Macaca mulatta: one gene and its partners. The protein of the gene in region 1 interacts with the protein of each later gene in a biochemical or structural test. Links are inferred from orthologs where the notes say so. Each region holds a gene or a part of one and is shown in the gene's direction. Other genes may lie near its edges.

What was found. The genes of interacting proteins can lie anywhere in the genome.
Region 2: of the proteins of PTPN6 (region 1) and ROS1, one has a biochemical effect on the other in vitro, tested with the Homo sapiens proteins (2 studies listed by BioGRID and IntAct). The link is inferred for Macaca mulatta from reciprocal best matches to the Homo sapiens genes PTPN6 and ROS1.
Region 3: of the proteins of PTPN6 (region 1) and SRC, one has a biochemical effect on the other in vitro, tested with the Homo sapiens proteins (2 studies listed by BioGRID). The link is inferred for Macaca mulatta from reciprocal best matches to the Homo sapiens genes PTPN6 and SRC.

The regions. Positions count from the first base shown.
Region 1 is NC_133416.1:7,930,683-7,934,504, forward strand, and holds part of PTPN6 (tyrosine-protein phosphatase non-receptor type 6), read left to right. Parts: intron 1-271; coding exon 272-403; intron 404-535; coding exon 536-690; intron 691-2,534; coding exon 2,535-2,602; intron 2,603-2,694; coding exon 2,695-2,846; intron 2,847-2,942; coding exon 2,943-3,034; intron 3,035-3,404; coding exon 3,405-3,519; 3' UTR 3,520-3,544; intron 3,545-3,681; 3' UTR 3,682-3,822. UniProt on the Homo sapiens protein: Tyrosine phosphatase enzyme that plays important roles in controlling immune signaling pathways and fundamental physiological processes such as hematopoiesis.
Region 2 is NC_133409.1:22,414,206-22,418,562, reverse strand, and holds the start of ROS1 (proto-oncogene tyrosine-protein kinase ROS), read left to right. Parts: upstream 1-1,537; 5' UTR 1,538-2,536; coding exon 2,537-2,659; intron 2,660-4,357. UniProt on the Homo sapiens protein: Receptor tyrosine kinase (RTK) that plays a role in epithelial cell differentiation and regionalization of the proximal epididymal epithelium. NELL2 is an endogenous ligand for ROS1.
Region 3 is NC_133415.1:90,223,647-90,228,148, forward strand, and holds the start of SRC (proto-oncogene tyrosine-protein kinase Src), read left to right. Parts: upstream 1-1,682; 5' UTR 1,683-1,759; intron 1,760-4,502. UniProt on the Homo sapiens protein: Non-receptor protein tyrosine kinase which is activated following engagement of many different classes of cellular receptors including immune response receptors, integrins and other adhesion receptors, receptor protein tyrosine kinases, G protein-coupled receptors as well as cytokine receptors.

The DNA.
Region 1 (3,822 bases):
CCTGGTTTGCACGGCTTCGGGGACAACGCCTGCCTCGGCAATGTTTGTTGAATGACAAATGGATGTACCAGTAAAGCGGCTGGCCAGGTCGCACCACCTGTTGGTGGCTGATCTGAGACGAGAGCCCAGGTCTCCTGCCTCTCTGCCAGCTCATCTATCCATCCAACAAACGTTTGGGCCGGTGCCAGGCACTCAGAACCTAGAGCGGGACCTGGGATGGGCCACAGCGCCCTGCTCTGTGCCTCATCCCCACCCGACCCTCCCTTTCCAGAACAAATGTGTCCCATACTGGCCCGAGGTGGGCACTCAGCGCGTTTATGGGCCCTACTCTGTGACCAACTGCGGGGAGCATGACACGACCGAATACAAACTCCGCACCTTACACGTCTCCCCACTGGACAATGTGAGCGGCCCCCACTCCCTGCCCTGCTCCGGGAGTCCCTCCCGGACTTGTTCTCCTCTCTGGTGGGGTAGGGCGAGACAGGTGGGGTGTTCCGAGGGAGCAGGGGGCACTGACCCTGTGTCCTCGGCCCAGGGGGACCTCATTCGGGAGATCTGGCATTACCAGTACCTGAGCTGGCCCGACCATGGGGTCCCCAGTGAGCCTGGGGGTGTCCTCAGCTTCCTGGACCAGATCAACCAGCGGCAGGAAAGTCTGCCTCATGCAGGGCCCATCATCGTGCACTGCAGGTGAGGATGATAATCCTGATGGTAGTAGTGGCCGCTGAGAAGTAAATACTGCTAAGTGCCATGAGCGTTATAAGCAACATACACGTTAGCTCACACGATTAGTGCCTTCCGCTCACTCCCAGCTTCTTCTGGGTCCCCTCATGGCTCCAGACCCCTGGGTGGAACGTGGCTGGAACCAGCCCCACTTTGGCCCTCTGCCTGTGGTTGTCTTCCTCAGAGCCCTCCCCAGATGTACCATCTCGCCCAACCCTGCCAAATACAGAGGAGGAACCTGGGACCCAGTTGCTGGCCAGGCCCAAGCTAGGCAGGGCAAGGCCGGGCAGGCACCCACAGTAGGCCTGGGTCCTGGCTGCTCCGCTTTCTCTCCAGGTCTCACTCCGTTGGTTTCTTCTCGCCTCCCAGGAACATCCATGGGGCTTGTGCTCCCCGTTCCTCCTCTTTTTCCATCGGTAGACCCAGGGCTTTGGCTTGTTCCTGACTCCGCCCTCTCTCCCAGCTTCCCCAGGCGGCGCCCCATCCTGGCCCCCAGGGCTGTGTGGGGATGGACAATGCCTTTTTGGGGGTGCACATAGCTCCTCTATCTACCCTCATGTTTGTGATCAGGAGACCCTGGTAAGGTGCAGAGGTGGGGGCCTCAAGGAGGAGCAGGGGTCCCACAGATGAGCCCACTGAGCCCGCCTGGCCTGGGTGGATGAGAGGCAGCGGGTGCAGGGCCCCTCCGCTTACCAGCTGCGTGATCTTGGACAAATTACTTAACTTTTCTAACCCTCAGCTTCCTCCTCTGTAAAATCAGGACCTCAGGGTTGTAGTGAGAACTCAATGAGACCCTGTCGTTGCGGCTGGAATTCCGTCAGCCCTCAAACACGGGGCGCTGTTACTGGTTTAGTAACTCACGTCAGGCAGAGAATGGGGGAAATGAGAACCTGCCTTGCTCTGGTCCCTTCCCACTCCCACCGTGGACCCCAGGCCTGCGACAGTCTCTGGCTTCCTCCTCTTCCCCCAGCAGCTGTTTGTCCTGGGACAAGTCAGCTGAATCTAGAGGTGCCCCCGATGGGCTGTCTCGGGGACCCGGCTCTGTCCTCTGCTCTCTCAGAGACAGGCCCATCCCCGAGAGCTACCCTCCTGCTCACCCGCCACACACACATCACACACTTCTTGGAAGCCCCGTGGCCTTTATTTAGACGTTACAGGAAGGAAGTGGGTGTGGGGGGTTATTTTTGACAATCTGGGTTTGAAATTAGACAGTGCGACTCAGGGCATCAGCCTGATGGGCCCAGCCGAGGGTGGGCCTGGGGTCTCCCTGGCGTCTGTTTGCCCAGGGGTGGGAAAGAAGAGAAGCTTCCTACGGCCCTGCTCCTCCGAGCGCCCTGACCCGGCGCGCCTGCACCCTGCTGTCTCAGGGGTGTCCTTTTCCTGATGTCAGGGTTTGAAGAAAAACGAAGTGAACCGTGCTGAGAGACGCACCAGATCTCCTGCAGGGAGAGGCGGGGAGGGCTCAGGGTACCTGGGAGCCGACAGGATAGTGGTGGGATTTGGGGGTCCCAGGTCTTCCGGGGTGGGGGCAGCCACTCACCAGGAGTGGGGAGTCGGCGCGAGGAGTGGAGGAGGGAAGGATGGTGGCAGCCGGGGAGACGGCGTCAACACCACAGAGCCAGAGTGGAGCGCGCCCATGCAGAGCTGGGCAAACGTCCGTCGTCACTTGCCCGGTGACCCTGGGCACATTCCCTCCCATCACTGGAGGCTCAGGCTGCTCCTGTGGTGCCTGGGGCTGGAGCTGAGCACTGGGTACCCCCCTTCCCGGGAGGGCTTGACTGGCCTCTGACCGTACCCCCGTCTTTCCCCAGCGCCGGCATTGGCCGCACGGGCACCATCATTGTCATCGACATGCTCATGGAGAACATCTCCACCAAGGGTGAGGGGCACCTGGGGGCTTGGGAGTGGGGCTGAGCAGCCTCTCGGTGTCTGCCTATGCCTGGACCTGAGGTTTGACTGCCCCCCACCCAGGCTTGGACTGTGACATTGACATCCAGAAGACCATCCAGATGGTGCGGGCGCAGCGCTCAGGCATGGTGCAGACAGAGGCGCAGTACAAGTTCATCTACGTGGCCATTGCCCAGTTCATTGAAACCACCAAGAAGAAGCTGGAGGTCCTGCAGGTGTGTGCAGAGCAGGGCCTGGGGGGCTGCAGTGCGGGGCAGGCGCCACCTAGCCGTGCTGGGACCACCACCCTCCCACCATCCCTCTGTCCATAGTCGCAGAAGGGCCAGGAGTCGGAGTATGGGAACATCACCTACCCCCCAGCCATGAAGAACGCCCATGCCAAGGCCTCCCGCACCTCGTCCAAGTGAGTGGCCCTGACTGCCACTGCCCGGCATCCACCCCTTTGTCCTGCCCAACCCGATCCTCACTTTCTGGAGAGGACAAGTGTCACAACTGGGGGGGCCTGGCTTCAAGTTCAGGCTTGGGTCTCACCCTTTCTATTCATAAGCATTTCCCGAGTGCCCACCACGTGTGGGCCTCTGCTAGGTACCAGCCGTGCACTCCTGTATGAGATGTAGCCTCTGTCCTCTAGGAGCTTGGAGTCTAGTGCGGGGACAGTGGCTGGGTCGCCTGTGAGATGGGGTGGCCAGAGGGGGCTGCCAGTGCCGAGTCCCCCGCGCTGTCTCCTGACCTGCACCCACTGCCTGTACTTGCCCCCCTGCACCCCGCTGCAGACACAAGGAGGATGTGTATGAGAACCTGCACAGTAAGAACAAGAGGGAGGAGAAAGTGAAGAAGCAGCGGTCAGCAGACAAGGAGAAGAGCAAGGGTTCCCTCAAGAGGAAGTGAGCGGCGCTGTCCTCAGGTGGCCATGGTACAGTTCTTCTGCCTGGGTGTCCTCCCGGCCCTGCCCCGTGTCCTTGGCTCCACTGCCTTCCCTGGGTGGATGGGGTGGCCGTAGCCTCACTCTGTGCTTCCCAGATGCCCCAGACCTTCTTGTTCCCCCTCCAGGTTCCAGCCACCCTCTCACTCCCTCACTCGCTTCTCTTGGCAGCCTCAGCCCTGAACCTGCGGAAGCCTTCCACGGTGGACAGACTCACAACCTGAACCTAGGAGCGTCCCATTCTATTGTAATTTAAATGGCTGCATCCC
Region 2 (4,357 bases), on another chromosome or scaffold:
TGGGGCAAAAATTTCTTGAGCAGTACCCAACAAGCACAGGCAACCAAAGCAAAAATGGACAGATGAGATCACATCAAGTTAAAAATCTTCTGTACAGCAAAGGATACAATTAACAAAGTAAAGAGAAAATCCACAGAATGGGAGAAAATATTTGCAAACTACCCATCAGACAAGGGATTAATAACCAGAATAAATAAGGACATCAACCAACTCTATAGGAAAAAATCTAATGATCCAATCAAAGGATAGGCAAAAGATTTGAATAGACATTTCTCAAAAGAAGACATACGAATGACAAACAGGCATATGAAAAGCGTTTAACATCATTAATCATCAGAAAATGCAAATCAAAACTACAATGGGATATCATCTTACCCAGTTAAAGTGGCTTATATCCAAAAGACGGGCTATAACAAATGCTGGTGGTGATGTGGAGAAAAGGAAACCCTTGTACATTTTTGATGAGAATGTAAATTAATACAACCACTATGGAGAACAGTTTGGAGGTTCCTCAAAAAACTAAAAATTAAGCTACCGTATGATCTAGCAATTCTACTGCTGGGTATATGCCTAAAAGAAAGAAAATCAGTATATCAAATAAATACCTGCATGCCAATGTTTATTGCAGCACTGTTTACAATAGCTAAGATTTGGAAGCAACCTAAGTGTGCATCAATAGATGAATGGATAAAGAAAATGTAGTACATATACACAACGGAGAACTACTCAGCCATATTCAGTCATTTCCAACAACATGGATGGAACTGCAGATTATTACGTTAAGTGAATTGAGCTAGGCACCGAAAGGCAAACATTGCATGTTTTCACTTTTTTGTGGGATCTAAAAATCAAAACAATTGAATTCATGGACAAAGAGAGTATAAGGATGGTTGCCAGAGCTGGGAAGGGTAGTGGTGGGTGGAGTGGGGAATGGGAGATGGGGACAGTTAACGGGTACAAAAAATGCAGAAAGAGTAAATAAGACCTACTATTTGATAGCACAACGGGTGACTATAGACAATAATCACTGTACATATTAAAATGACTTAGAGCATACTTGGATTGTTTGCAACTCAGTGGATAAATGCTTGAGGGGATGGACACCCCATTCTTCATGATGTGCTCATTTCACATCGCACATGGATGTTTCAGAACATCTCCTGTGCCCCATAAATACATGCACCTACTATGTACCCATCAAAATTAAAACAAACAAAAATCCAATAAAAAAGACGTTCAGCTCAAAACAAAATCTCATGCATGTGTTACTCATAATGAGAACCTTATATCATTAAGAAAAGTTTAAGTTACATTTAGTATAATTTATTTAAGCAAACAAGGAGGTTGGCCTGGTGTACCGTGGTGACTCACGCCTGTAATCGCAGTACTTTGGGAGGCAGAGGTGGGCGGATCACGAGATGAAGAGATAGATACCATTCTGGCCAACATGGTGAAACCTCGTCTCTACTAAAAATACAAAACTTAGCTTGACGTGGTGGTGTGTGCCTGGTAGTCCCAGCTACTTGGAGGCTGAGGCAGGAGAATTGCTTGAACCTGGGAGGCAGGGGTTGCAGTGAGCCGTGATCAGCCACTGCACTCTAGCCTGGGCGACAGAGGGAGACTCAGAAAGAAAGAGAGAAAGAAAGAGAGAAAGAGAGAGAGAAAAAGAGAAAGAAGAAAGAAGAAAGGAAGGAAGGAAGGAAGGAAGCAAGGAAGGAAGGAAGGAAGGAAGGAAAAGAAAGAAAGAAAGAGAAAGAAAGAAAGAAATCTTGTACAATGTTTCCTTCTCAAGGCAGACACTTGAACATATCTTAGGTTTCTGGTAACTAGTTTCAGCTTTCTCAATAGACCTGATAAGGCAGTATTTTAGTTAATATGTAGTAAAGTTCTGAGAGTGCTCTAACAAACTTCCTTGTTTTTAACTCACTCCCAGGCTATTTTTCTATTAATTTCAGCTTTGTTTGCTCTTAAATTTAAAAATATGTATTTGGCTTCTGAGTTCTGTTTTCTCTTTCAGTTGCATTGCTTGATTTGGGTGCCTCTATTTTTTCAATAATTCTTTATTATAGTAGTGCTACTGTTTGCTAAAGCATACGTGGTCAAAACCCAATTCCCTGCAGAGCTGAAAAGAGCTCAGAGAAGTAACGTGGTGGACGACCCACTGAAATGTTCCAGTTTCAGACTATGGATGTGTCACACCCTTGCTGAAATACAATTCGTTTTCTTTGTTTAATTTCCACGTGAAGTGCTCTTCTAAGAACTAACCTTTAATCAGTGGGTGACTTTCTTTATGGGAGTAAAAGGAAGCTATTATGAAATAACTCTTATGGAACTGTTACAAGCTTTCAAGGATTCAAAGGTCTAAACTAAAAAGGCTAAATGTTATTTCAAAAGGCAAATATATCCTAATATAGCAAAACAAAACAAAATCCATCAGCTACTCCTCCAATTGAAGTGATGAAGCCCAAATAATTCATACAGCAAAATGGAGAAAATTAGAAGACCGGCCATCTAAAAATCTGCCATTGGTGGAGTGATGAAGAACATTTACTGTCTTATTCCGAAACTTGTCAATTTTGCAACTCTTGGCTGCCTATGGATTTCTGTGGTGCAGTGTACAGTTTTAAATAGCTGCCTAAAGTCGTGTGTAACTAATCTGGTAAGTCTGTAACTAATCTGGTAAGTCTCGCAATCTAATATTTGTCTTTGCAGGAACTGGAACATGTAGAATTCAGCTTGTTATAACTGATATAATTGTTTTCTCTTTATGAGCAGTTTTCTTATGAGAAGTGGTAGCAACAACGCAAGATAGATTAGTTTTTCTTAAATAAGTTAGCAGCACTTATAATTGCAGAAGATAAAGCAGGCTATTTTATTTCTTTAGGGTACCTGGTCATATATTTTTTGGGCTAGAGGATTGGGTAAAGGAAGTTTAAATGGAATCAATTTTGCCAATTTTATACACTTGAAAATTTCTATTTAAACTCATTTATTACAAAGTCATTAATAGTTGTCTTGAAACATGAAATAGGTTTGACCATAGGATAATGCCTGCTAATTCCAGCTGTGTAGGAAGCTGGATAAAAAAGGAAGCAGATACAGATGCCATGTAAAATAATATTATATTTTAAAGCAATACTTATTTGTACATTTCTTTATTTCTGTTTGTGCATTTGTAATTTTAGTTAGTGAGTTTTTTATATGGAAATTTATGCTTTCATTCTCATTTCTGGGTGTCATCCCTTCTCTAACTATTGTACCATCTCTTCAGTTGTAATTTAGTTGTGCTTGAAACAGTTACTGAATTAACTTTAAAAACCAAATACTCTATAGACAGAGAAATGCACTCTTCCTGTCTAAAGACAAATAATATATCATGATAGTTTACATATGCCCCTATCTACAGCCATACTTTTAAACATAATACAAGTACTAAATATAGTACTCATTATATTATGCTACAATGTTGGAGGTAGAATTCTGTGACAGATTAAAAAAGAAACTTGTGCTTATACACTTTTGATTTAAACTGTAGTTTAAAACACTACTTAGGCTTACCATGGTTAGTAGCATTTTAAAAAAAGTTTAGTATTTTATATAAATCTTTGCCAAAGACTTCATTGCTTTTAATACAGAATTGCATGCTCTGGTTTTTTATATTTGTAACCCAAACATAAAAATGGAAGAATGGAACTACTAAATATTTCAACTACTAAATGGAAAACTAAATATTTTCTTTTCTAAAAAAGATTTTAATTTTTTTCTAATTATAATAAGAATATACATTTTAAATAAAATATTTATAAGATAAAGAACTAGAGAAAAATAAAAAACATATAATTCCACCCCTAGTAACCTTTAGATTGAATTTTCTCTTAGTATTTTTCCTCATGTATATATGTGTACATATATATCTATAATTTACACACAGTTATGCATCCAGCTTTTTCATTACATTATATTGTGAGTTTTCCCCTAGACCCTAAAATGTTTTTAGAAACAGAATCTTTAATATCTTTAGAGTATTCCATTATATGAATGTACCACCATAATTTATTTGTTAATTTCTCTGCTACTGAAACTGATTTTAGTTGTTTCCAATATTGCAGTCTCCATTTTATTTTACTGTAGTTTTATTTATTCTTATCTTTTTGTGTGGGCTCCTTGCTTTCAGGGTTTGGCAGTAGGAATAGACAGTTTGTTCCTTTGTTGAGTTGCCTTCCGTTCACCACCTACAGAGAAAGGCACAGCTGATGTGTGGCAACAGCAAGAGAGACACGGTCTGCCAATTTGACCAGTGAAAGTACTACACGTTCCGACATAAGGCCTGGAGGGACAAAAGTGAAGTGAATGTACA
Region 3 (4,502 bases), on another chromosome or scaffold:
GTGGCCTTGGGGAGCAGTGCCCACACTGGCCTGGGGCATCAGCTGGCCATCTGCTGTCTTCGACGGGCCCCAGGCATCTCACTTGGCTTCTCTGAGTCCCTCTCTGTGCCCCCATCTGGAAAGAGGGGCAGGTTGTTGCTGTGTAGCAGGGTCTTGGTGAGAATAGAAGTCTGAACAGTACCAGTGAGAATCTAAGGTTAGGGGCACAGCAGGGACCTCTGTTCATGGGGCATGGCCTGTGTGCCCAGGTCTTGGCGTGGATTCACCTGTTAGCCTTTGCAACTACCTGAGGGTGACTATGGGCATCTCCATGGTACTGAAGGAAACTTCAGTCCATGTGCCCAGAGTCCTCCTGTGGTGGCAGCAGGGTCCCCTTAACCATGATGCCCCCACCTGGCTTGGGCAGGTGCCTGACAAGCCCTTCTGCTCTCCCGTCAGAGAGAGGATGGCTGCCAAAGGGCCAAGTCCCTGCCCGCCGCCTTCCCCCTTCATCCCCGCACAGGCCTGACACTACACCCACTGCTGCTCTTCCCTGGCCCGCCTCCCACCTTTCCCCCGCCACTGGGGCACTGTTATCAGGAGGCATTCCAGGACTGGCTGAGAACAGCTTCCACCCTGGGCCCTTCTGAGCGGATGTGATCACTGATAGGATGCCCTGCTGGGGCCTCCTTTAAGGAATGGGCTCTGGGGTACGAGACGGTGGAACCCAGATAGTCTGGGTTTGCCTCCCAGTGCTGTGTCTTATGAGCTGTGTGACATCAGGCAAGCAGCTCCACCTCTCTGTGCTTCAGTTTCCTCATCTGCAAATCAGGGCCCGCCACAGAGGGCTGGGGTGGTTCACTGAGTTCCTAAGCATGGTGCGCGCCACCCAGCAACACCGTGATGGTGACGCTGTAGCTGTTGTTATCCTCTGAGGATCAACCATCCCTCCTCCTTGTGGGGCCCCTGGTTTATTTGGCCTCTGTGTCCACCCCCTGATGAGGGCATGGCCGGAGGACCCCTCTGGACTTTCTCTTCTCCAGGTCTAGAGGACAAGGAGAGGGTGAAGCTGAGAGAGGCTATGTTCAGAAATTGGGAACCTGCTGTGTGATCTTGGATGGCCCCTCTCCCTTTCTGAGCCTCCATTTCCCGGCCTGCTCTATGAGCCTGTGGACCTGGCCCCTCGTTATCCCTGTCACGATACTTTCTGTAGTTCCTCCCTCGGCCAGCCCAGCTACATGGCTTTTGACTGTCTTTCCCACTATGGCATCAGTAGGTGCTCAGCTAAGCCTTGTTGGAGGAGCCTGGCAGTGCACCATTGAGTGACTGTCCAGGGCTTTCCCACTCCTGGCCTTTTGCTTGTGTGGCCCCCTTTGCCAAGAATGTGGCCCCCATTCATCTCTACTTGTGGAAATCCTTCTTGTCCTCGAAGCCCTTCGCAAATGCTGCCTCCCCCAGGAAGCCTTTCCCAGTTTCTCCCAGCCAGAGGGGATGCTGGTCCTTGGAACACTTGCTCTGAGGCTCTCTGGTGGTCCCTGTTACAGTGCACTGCAGTGTCCATAGTTACAGATGAATGGCAAACAGGGACTGTGCACTTACTAGGAGCCAGGCAGCGGGGGGGGGGCCCTGAGCTTGTGCTGTCTTATTTCATCTTCCACACCAGCCTTGCAAGGTGGATATTAATCCTATTATCCCTCCCTTTACAGAACAGAGAACAGAGGCTCAGAGAAGTGAAGCAACTTGGCCAGCTATGAGAGACAGAGCCAGGATTTGAAACCAGGTAAGTTTGTGTTTTTTCTTTAAAAAGGAAAGAAAAAACATCACACACACACACACACACACACACACACACACATACACACACACACGACAGGGAAAAGTAAGTCTCTCTCACACCCAGGTCTCCTTGCCAGAGTCAACCACTTGAAAAAATTTCTGGTGTATCCTTCCAGGGAGATCCAGGCATATATAAGCATGTATATTAACAATTTTTTTAGCATAATGTGAATTTCAATAATGATGGGAATGCCAGGTGTTGATATTTTTAGCTTCCGCACTTGACTCAATATTACACATTTGCAAAGAATTTTGTTTTTTTCTTAGGGTCTTACTCTGTTGCCCAGGCTGTAGTGCAGTGTCACAATCATGCTTACTGAGGCCTCGAACTCCTGGGCTCAAACGATCCTCCCACCTCAGCGTCCCAAGGAGCTGGGACTGCAGGGAAATGCACCACACCCAGCTAATTATTTATTTTTTTGTAGAAGCAGAGTCTCACTATGTTGCCTAGGCTGGTCTTGAATGTCTGGGCTCAAGCAGTCCTCCTGTCTTAGCCTCCCAAAGTACTGGGATTATAGGTGTGAGCCATCACCCCCAGCCGGAAATTTTTTTCTCTTTTTTAGATAAATGATAGCACACAGTCTACCCTGTCCTCAACTGACTTTTTTCTCTTGACAGTGTACCTCAGAGGTCATTTATTTGTGCTGCATTTTTCTTGTTCATGGTTGCGTAGTATTCCACTGCATGTACGGTGGTCACACTGTACTTAACTAAGGACAGATATTTTGGTTGTTTCCAGTCTTTTGCTTGTTCTAGGCAATTCCACAAATGAATATCCTCAATCATATGCCTTGTGTTTGTGTGTTCTTTTAGGATTAATTCCACACTGCAGGGTCAGTGGGTGTGTAATTGTGATAGGTATTGCCAAATTGTCCTTCAGAGAGATTGCGCTGGTGTCCCCACACCCTCTGTTCTCCTCACTCTCACCAGCATAGGATGTTACCAAATTTGGGGATAAATTGCATAAGTGCAATTTGCCGAGCTGATAGGTGAACAGTGGCCCCCAGTGTAGTTTATTTGAAAAATGTGTATCACAGCTTTACTGAGATAAAATTCACATAGCATACAATTTATCTATTTAAAGTATACAATTCGGTGGTTTTTAGTAGAGTCACAGAGTTGTACAATCGTCACCACAGTCAAATTTAGAACATTTTCATTACCCTACAAAGAAACTTTACCCATTACAGTTACTCCCCACTTCCCCCTAAACTTCCCTCCCCTAGACCTAGGCGGCAACTAATCTAGTTTCTGTTTCTATAGATTTGCCTATTCTGGGCATTTAATAGAAATGAAATCATTCAAGTGTACTCTTTTGCGGCTGACTTCTTTCACTTAGCATAATGTTTTCAAGATTCACTCATGTTGTAGCATGGATCAATATTTCATTCTTTTTTTCTTGCCAAATAATATTCTATCATATGGATATACCATATTTTATTTATCCATTCATCAGTTGATGGACATTTGGGCTTTCTGGCTATTACGGGTAATACTGTTCTGGACATTCATGTGCAAGTTTTTGTGTAGACATATGTTTTTCATTTCTCTTGAGTGTGTACCTACGAGTAGAATTGCTAGATCATATGGTAATTCCATGTTTAACTTTCTGAGGAACTGCCAGATTGTTTTGCAAAGCAGCTGCACCATTTTACATTCCCATCAGCAATGTCTGAGGGTTCCAGTTTCTCCACATCCTTGCCAACATTTGTCTTTTAGATTCTAGTCATCCGTCCTAGTGTCTGTGAAGTGGCATCTCATGGTGGTTCTGATTTTTTTTTTTTTTGGACAGGGTCTCAGTCTGTTGCCGAGGCTCACTGCAGCCTCAAACTCTTGGGCTCTAACAATCCTCTCATCTCAGCCTCCTGAGCAGCTGGGACCAAAAGTGTGTGCCACCACACCTGGCTCAGGCCCTTTTTTTTTTTTTTTTAGTTTGTAGAGATAGGGTCTCACCGTGTTGCCCAGGCTAGTCTTGAACTCCTGGGCTCAAATGATCCTCGCACCTCGGCCTCCCAAAGTGCTGGGTTTACAGGCATGTGCCACTGTACTCAGCCGTTTTGATTTTTATTTCCCTAATTACTAGTGACATTAAGCATCTTTTCATGTGCTTATTGGCCACTTGTATATCTTCTTTGGAGGAATGTCTATTCAAGTTCTTTGCCTACTTTTATTATTAATGTAATCTATTTTTTTTTTGTCTTAGCAACAAGGTCTCACTATGTTGCCCAGGCTAGTCTAGAAGTCCTGGCCTCAAGTGATCCCCCTGCCTCAGCCTTCCAAGTAGCTAGGACTATAAGCGTGTGCCACCATGCCTGGCTTAATTTTTTTTTAATTTTGTAGAGATAGGATCTTACTCTGCCACTCAGGCTGGAGTGCAATGGTGTGATCATAGCTGACTGTAACCTCAAATTCCTGGGCTCAAGCAATCCTCCCATCTCAGCCTCCTGAGTAGATAGGACCACAGGCATGCAACACCACGCCCGGCTAATTTTTTTTTTTAATTTTTAGTAGGGGTCTCACTATGTTTCCGAGGCTGGTCTCAAGCTCCTGGCCTCAAGAGATCCTCCTGTCTTGGCTTCCAAAGCACTGGGATTACATGCATGAGCCACTGTAAGAGATATTTATATATTGTAGATACAAGTATATGATTTACAAATATTTTCTCCTATTCTGTGGGTTGTCCTTTT